2 linked regions of the Cricetulus griseus genome follow. The protein of the gene in region 1 purifies or fractionates together with the protein of each later gene. This does not show direct contact. Links are inferred from orthologs where the notes say so. Each region holds a gene or a part of one and is shown in the gene's direction. Other genes may lie near its edges.

Region 1 (4,223 bases):
TAAAGGGGGGTGGGGTGGGTGTAGGGAGGGGCAGGGAGAGGTGGGAGGGTGTAAGCTCAGTGGTAGAGGGCTTGAAGGGTGCTGAGAACTCCAGTCTTCAGACAGACCATTGATGATCCAGTTTTACAGAGGAGGATACTGAGGCCAAGCAGGCGTCACCTGACAGATGTTGCACAACCTGGACACAGGGAAAGTTGGGTAGAGCCTGGCCCCTTCTTGGACCTTGCTGCCCCTCCAGCCCTCTCCCCAGGATGAAGTCAACATCAGGACCCAGCCCCACTCACCCCACTCTGTACAAACTCCTTGCTCCCATGAATTTGTATATAAATGGTTTTTACCAGATCTTCCGGACCTATCTGTGGACGGGACAGGGAGTGGGTGGGCTGCTTTAGGTCTCAGGATCTTGGTTTTGCGGGGCTTGGTCATGTAATCCCACCTCCCCAGAAGCTGAGGCAGGATCTCAAGTTTAAGGCCAGCCAGGATTGCAGAAATACTATGTCAGAAGCCAAAACCACGACAACAGGTTTGTTTTCTGAGGCCACCAATGGCCCAGGGTCAGCACTGGGTGATGCTCTCTCTAACAGAACCCCGATGTGAGGCAGAAGCAAGATCATAAAGCCACCAAGTGGCAGGAAAACAAAGTGCTGGAGCCTCCAGGAGGAATCGAGTCAGGCTGGGGAGTTTGGGGAGGTTCTCTAGAGAAAGTGAGTCAGTGAGACGGCCCAATCTGTGTTTTGTTGTGGGAGGTATAGGTACCCCTCAGGGAGGGTATCTCAGATGGCATGCTTAGCCGATACAAAGGCCATTGCAACAGAAGCACGTGTCTGCGGCCCAGGACCCTGCAAGTCCTTCCTCCCACCGTCTCTTCCTTCTGGGGTGACTACCTCCACCGGTTTAACATTCGGAAACTCCTAGATTCAAGAAAGGCCATCAGTTGTCCGCACACCATGAGGTTGAAGGGAGGGGACGCGGACACTGCGAGACCGGCCGGGACTTACGCTCGCCCCCTGGCGGCCACCGCGCGCTCCGCAGCCGCCGGTCCTTGAGGGAGTAATGGCGCCGCGCACAGCGGATACGGGAGCGAACAGCGCTCCCTCCAAATATGGCCGCCGGGGCCGGACGGCCCCGTCCCGCCGAAGCCGCCTCGGGACCCACGTGACCTCCCGCCCCACACAGTCATGGCCGCGAAGGTCCAGCTCAAACCAGTCCGTGATTGGACCATATAAAGATGACCCACCGTCCAGTGTGCGCATGCACACCGCTTCAACCAATGAAAAGACAGAAAGCCTTCCGTTCGTCCCGGGTTGCGTCACTTCCTCCGCCCCTGCGGCAAGGGATAAGAAACCCTGCGCCAAGACCTCCTCCTTTCCCAGGCGGCTGCCGAAGATGGCGGAGGGACAGGTCGGGCTCTGCGCGCGCCGGGAGGTGTGGGGGGTCGGGCGGGCGCCAGGCCGGAGCGGAAGGGGCCTCCGCTCCGCTCGGCGTGTGCAGTGGGACTTAAGGACGCAGTTGAGCAAAGGAAGAACGTTTTGACGCGAGGGCAGTGTAACGTGGGCATAGCGAGCCGCGCATGTCTTTAGGTATGGGGCGACGGAACGCTACGTGTTTCCCGGGGAGACGGGAGTGGGGCTTGGGGCCCCGACACCCGCTAGCAACCTTGAGAGGTCCGTCTCTCAGACACTTGGAACGCGGGGAGCTCGGGGCCGCTCGCTGCTGCGCTTCTGATGCGAAGCTGCTGAGTTAGAGACTCCTGGTTTCGGGACTCAAGCGTGCCGGTTTCTGTAGCTTCTGTCAGTCCTAAGGGTGCTTTCAAAGTCTTTAAGTGTTACGGGATGAATTAGTGAGAAGCATCGGGATTTTGAGGCTATTCAGTAATCGAAATCACCTTTGCTGGGGTATTTTTTCTTCTTAAAAAATGCTTGGAGGATCTCTGCCCGTCTCTTGTCGTTTGGGCCGGGTTACAAGCACATGCCAGCCACCAGGTGTGAGACTTGAAGACTGCTGCTTTCCAGAATTACAAACTAGACAGGGCAGCCATTATATAGTGAATTATTGGGTTTTGCTTTATACTATTGGTATGGTTTCTGTTCCTTGTGAGCGAGTTGAGACTATGATGCAGAGCCACCGTGGCCTAAACTTACCCCAAACGAAGTCTTAGCATGGGATTTTGTTAAAGGCTGGCTGCTTGCACAAGAAGTAGTAGATTGCAGTTTTCCAGCCATTTGAGTCTTTGCATGACAACGAGATGAGGCTCAGTTAAGATTGCAGGCACTTGAACCCTTCTCACGTGCTGCTGGGGCAGCCTTGGGCTTTCTCTTGGTTTGTTGTACCCCTTTGGGGCACCTTATCTGCTTGATAAGTCATCCTGTGGGGAAGGGCACTGGCATGAGTGGTTGGTAACTTGGTAGAGAGAGCCAGACTGCTTCCTAAGCCTTTTGTCTCCCACAGGTTCTAGTGTTGGATGGCAGAGGCCATCTTCTGGGCCGCCTGGCGGCCATTGTGGCAAAGCAAGTGCTACTGGGTAAGTTTCATTCAGAATTTCTGTTTGCCTGCAAGTCAGTGATGAGCAACAATCACCATCTTTCGTTTGAGTCTCACGACTGTGAGATCAACCCATGCACCGCTCTGAGACTTGACGGTCCCTCCTGGACTCCTTCCTGGTTCAAGTGGTTTTGGAGCAGGAGATTTGCACTTCATCTAGGATGTGGTTTTTCTGGGTGTTTAGGGGTGACTTTACTGGCTGTCTTCACAACCCATGTTCTCTCTAGGCCGGAAGGTAGTCGTTGTGCGCTGTGAAGGCATCAACATTTCTGGAAACTTTTACAGAAACAAGTGTGAGTGAGGGCCCAGGGCATCATCTCTAGGTGGGGTGCTGACCTAAGTTCTGGACAAGCAGGTCCTTGGTGTAGACTCGACCTCATCCACTTTTCTTCTTGGCAGTAAAGTACCTGGCTTTCCTCCGAAAGCGGATGAACACCAACCCCTCTCGAGGCCCCTACCACTTCCGAGCCCCGAGCCGCATTTTTTGGCGCACTGTACGAGGTGAGTTGGGCCTGTGGGTGCCATGGAGAATGGGGAATCTGGCAGCCTATGATGAAGCGATCTCCCACTGGTGTTCGAGTTTCCCAACTATGAGACAACTCTACATGCACTACCATCTGAGGCTGGGTGGGCTCCCAGATCTGGGCTAAGAGCGCTTTTCAGCCCCTCTGAAGGGAGTCCTGTTCTTCCCACAGGCATGCTGCCCCACAAGACTAAGCGAGGCCAGGCTGCCTTGGAACGCCTCAAGGTGTTGGATGGGATCCCTCCTCCCTATGACAAGGTGAGCAGCGCAAGCCTAGCTTTCCACAGCCTGTGTCCAGCGTCTGTGATGTTCTGCTATTACCTACATTGTTTGAGCCTCATGAAAACGCCACTAGCTGAGACGCCTGCCCCACCAGCCTCCTTCCCAGGTGATGCTCACAAAAGGTCTCTGAGCCCTTCTCCTTCTCTAACAGAAAAAACGGATGGTGGTCCCTGCCGCCCTCAAGGTTGTGCGGCTGAAGCCTACTAGAAAGGTAAGCTTAAAGTTGCAGAGTGGTCTAGGTGGGACCTGTAGACTGGCAGATGATGTTTTTTTTCTCACGATGGTCTTCGGATGCCACCGATTGGCAGTGCCGATAATGCCACAGGCTCAGCTGATGCCAGTAGGGGCTCCTGTATAGGGGGATATGTCCTTTAAGAGAACCTCTAGGGTCCTTTAGCTCACCCTTGTGCTGCCGGGACACCCATGTCCTTACAGCCTTGTGCCCCTGCAGTTTGCCTACCTGGGGCGCCTGGCTCATGAGGTCGGGTGGAAATACCAGGCAGTGACAGCCACGCTGGAGGAGAAACGCAAGGAAAAGGCCAAGGTCCACTATCGGAAGAAGAAGCAGCTCTTGGTGAGGACAGGACCCTCACATATGCCCTGGGGCGGGAAAGGGTAGTCTGGGAGAGAAAGCCACTCACCGCTTGTTACTTCACCTCACAGAGGCTACGCAAACAGGCAGAAAAGAACGTGGAGAAGAAAATAAGCAAGTTCACAGAGGTCCTCAAGACCAACGGACTCCTGGTGTGAGCCCAATAAAGACTGTTTGTGCTAATGCCTGCCTGGCCTGCTCTTCCTCCACCGCCGACCAGGGGAGTGGGGACAAAGGTGCTTTAGTCACTGCTCCAGTAGGAAGAGGGTACTTAGAAAGCTTATC
Region 2 (3,648 bases), on another chromosome or scaffold:
GCATAAGATTGTGCACACAAACTGGAGATAATTTTATGTAGTTACTTACAGTGTACCTGTATTTTTACTGTGACCCATCACATGAAATCAGTGTTGGATTTGCTAATTGCTGCTTGTCAATTCTTAATTTGGGGGACTTGGTGTGGATGTAGTTCAGTGGTAGAGTACCAGACCCTGTGTTCAGTCCTCAGCACTGTTTAAAAAGAGAAGTAATAATAGTTTCAGACCTCTGAGCATTTTTTAATTTACTTTCAATTGGGAATAGTAAGAATAGTAAGAACTATGAAACTTTGAGGTGCTTCTAATTCTGGTAGTGGTGAAATGACTTAAGCTAAGTTACAAAAAAAAAAAAAAAACTGTTTCTGTGATATCTTTAGAAGAGGTTACAAATTTTTTTCAGAGGGCATGAATAAATAAAGATTCAATGTGACTCAAATTTTACCATCAGAATAAAATGTGAGTGACGAGTTAAGAAAAATTTGAAATTTAACGAGAGTTGTGTGCTGTTGAATATTGTGAGAGTATGTGTAATCAGGTGGGGGTTTTAAGGTGAGTGTTAGAACATCACCTAGCATGTAAGAAGCCATGGGTATGGCAGCTAGAGGCGGAGAAAGAGATGAAGCAATTCAGCTAAGACAGTTACTTGACCATTGAGCAAATGTGAAAATTTAATGTGTAATTCTCATGGGTGTGGAAGGGTTTTCTCTTAAAATCAGAAAACTTTTTCTAAAAAATTCAGATAGACATTAATTATGAATGCTCAAAGTGCTTCTTAGAGTCAAATTTGAAACTCATAATTTGATGTAGGGTGTTTACCGAGAGACAGAAAGCATGGCCAATGGCAAGGAAGAGAAGTGAAAGACTCTTGGATCTCAGCCTGTCTAGGAAATACTAATGTATTAATGAGAGGAAAGAGGGTGAGGGATAAGAGAGCACTTGTCTAATACAAATCCCTGTGTTCAATCTTCAGGACCACCGCGGGGGGGGGGGGGGGGGGGGGGGGGGGGGGGGGAGGACACGACACAGTTATGAAGTAAAAACTATATAGTATACCATGTGTACCTTATATCCCAACTCAATTATGAGTGAAGACAATTTTGCCTGATCTATGTCCTACCTGTTTATCCCCTTCTAGTTGGGTTGTAATATTGCTGAGGTACAGCAAAGGCTACAATGAAGAAACACTATCTTTTAGAGTTTTCTAACTTTAGTACCCCAAAACTAAGAATTTTGTGCCTAAACCATATAGAGTTCATATTACAGTCCATGTTAACAGAAGTATAAGAGGTTCGGTTGCTTTCATGTTTCAGGTCAGCAAATTAAAACGACACATCCGCTCTCATACTGGAGAGCGCCCGTTCCAGTGCAGTTTGTGCAGTTATGCCAGCAGGGACACATACAAGCTGAAAAGGCACATGAGAACCCATTCAGGTAGGACTCCTCCTGTCTCGGTACTATGAGCTGCTCCTCAGTGATCCTGTAAACTGCCACATGCACCCAGGGCTTGACTGAAGGGAAGGAAGGCTGTTAAGAAAAGCTCTGGTACTGGGTGGTGACGGTGCTCGCCTTTAAACCCAGCACTTGGGAGGCAGAGGCAGGTGATCTCTGAGTTCTAGGCCATCCTGGTGTACAGAGTGTGTTCCAGGACAGCTAGGATTGTTACACAGAGAAAATATCAAAAAGAGCCAGGTGGTGGTGGTACACACCTTTAATCCCAACACTCGGGAGGCAGAGGCAGGCAGATCTCTGTGAGTTTGAGGCCAGCCTGGTCTACAGAGCTAGTTTAAGGATAACCAGGGCTACACAGAGAAACCCTGTCTGTAAAGACAAAAAAGGACTCAGAAAGGATGGTTCTAAAAATATACCGGAGAATAATTTTATTCAATTTGTGTCTTTTTATAACTTAAAATGGTTCTTTTAATGAAGATATCAAATGAAATTAAAATCTAGTATTTAAACATATAAGCTGGGTGTGGTGGCATACACTTTTAATCCCAGCAAAGGCAGGCAGATATTTTATATGAATTGAGGACAGCTTGGTCTACATGGCAAATTCCAGACTAGCCAGGGCTACATAGTGAGTCCTTGTCTCAAAAAGTAAAATATGCCTGGATAGATTATCTAACCTAATTGACTCTGCCTGAGTACTATCATTTTGAAAACAGAAAATCTTATGCTAAGTATGATAGCACAAGCCTATAATCTTCACACTCGGGCTGAGGGGATCTCTAGTGCCAGAGACAGTTCTAGGCTACAAGACAAGACCCTGCTTCTAAAAATTTATATTATAGCGCCCTCCCCCCCAGGTAAGCTTTGCCATAAGAACTGTGATCCTGCTGGGCCTTGGTGGCGCATGCCTTTAATCCCAGCACTTGGGAGGCAGAGGCCAGCCTGGTCTAAAAATCAAGTTCCAGGACAGGCTCCAAAACAATACAGAGAAACCCTGTCGGGGCAGGGGAGGGGGGATGGGACTGTGATCATAAAATGGAAGGCTATGTATGTAGAGAGCTGAGTAGAGCAAATGTATAGGGTTTGCTAATTCTGAACAGTTACACCTTCCTTACCTTAAGTAAGGCCTTAGATTCTGTGTGGCCTAACATATATGTCTGCCACTCAGCTACTCACCACCTAAGCCGTAATATTTATTCATTTAATGTGTTCATTCTGTATTTCCTTTTAAGGGGAAAAACCATATGAATGTTATATTTGTCATGCTCGGTTTACCCAGAGTGGTACCATGAAGATGCACATTTTACAGAAGCACACAGAAAATGTGGCCAAATTTCATTGTCCCCACTGTGACACTGTCATAGCCCGAAAAAGTGATTTGGGTAAGTAGATTTACTAGAGGCAAATAAAGAACTAATGAAAATAAAAGTATAAAGACTTCACCTTAAACTCAAACTTTTGTGTCTGTGAACAGTTTACTAATTAATGAAATCATTGCTTAGCTCCCTCCCCCCAATATCTTCTCTCTATTGGAGTCTCACTACAAGATAATATATCCTGAATATAGATTACACATAAGTTAAATGGGAACCAGTATACCCGTAATAGTAGCTTTCATCCCCTAAATGTTCAGAAAGTAACATATGTTTCAGATTAAGGTCAGTTTCCTTCTGGTTTTTAAGAGTATTTATACATTCTCTCAGTAATGGGAGTACTTTACTGGTTTGGTGGTAACTATTCTTGTATATAGATAAGCCAGAATTACACAGAGGGAGAATTCATCTGTAGGAATGTAACCATGCTTACACATAGGATCATCTTGAGTTCTCTTTCTGTGTGTTAATGTCATTGTTTCAAATTCAGTGTAGTTCTAAAATGACTTATACTCCCCTGCCAGAATAAACACAGCTTTCCCTCTTTCCACCATTCTCATCTCTGTAAATGGCTGTGCCATTTGGTGTCATCTGCAGCATCCACTTTTCTCTTTGTCAGTTAATTCCTATTGATCTCCCTTCCTGGCCTCCATGTCTAATATCGTCCTCTTTGTTCAGGTTTCCATCTTCCACCCACTGGTCTCTCCACCTGTTGTTATTGGTGGATTAGAGATAGGGAAGGGAGGTAGGGACTGAGCCCAGGGTCTCACACCTGCTATGCAAGTGTTTTACTTCTGATCTCATGTTCTTAGGCTGTGGAGCAAGT

The links.
Region 2: the proteins of Rpl13a (region 1) and Ctcf purify together in Homo sapiens (affinity purification with mass spectrometry; 4 studies listed by BioGRID and IntAct, with this or other methods). This does not show direct contact. The link is inferred for Cricetulus griseus from reciprocal best matches to the Homo sapiens genes RPL13A and CTCF.

The regions. Positions count from the first base shown.
Region 1 is NC_048599.1:154,013,278-154,017,500, reverse strand, and holds Rpl13a (60S ribosomal protein L13a), read left to right. Parts: upstream 1-1,309; 5' UTR 1,310-1,386; coding exon 1,387-1,401; intron 1,402-2,448; coding exon 2,449-2,521; intron 2,522-2,552; exon of another isoform or gene 2,553-2,635; intron 2,636-2,768; coding exon 2,769-2,834; intron 2,835-2,940; coding exon 2,941-3,042; intron 3,043-3,083; exon of another isoform or gene 3,084-3,168; intron 3,169-3,236; coding exon 3,237-3,322; intron 3,323-3,360; exon of another isoform or gene 3,361-3,430; intron 3,431-3,497; coding exon 3,498-3,557; intron 3,558-3,601; exon of another isoform or gene 3,602-3,690; intron 3,691-3,797; coding exon 3,798-3,920; intron 3,921-4,009; coding exon 4,010-4,096; 3' UTR 4,097-4,123; downstream 4,124-4,223. Other genes in the region: Flt3lg (fms-related tyrosine kinase 3 ligand), read left to right, coding at 130-255. UniProt on the Homo sapiens protein: Associated with ribosomes but is not required for canonical ribosome function and has extra-ribosomal functions.
Region 2 is NC_048596.1:181,953,808-181,957,455, forward strand, and holds part of Ctcf (transcriptional repressor CTCF), read left to right. Parts: intron 1-1,310; coding exon 1,311-1,431; intron 1,432-2,681; coding exon 2,682-2,831; intron 2,832-3,648.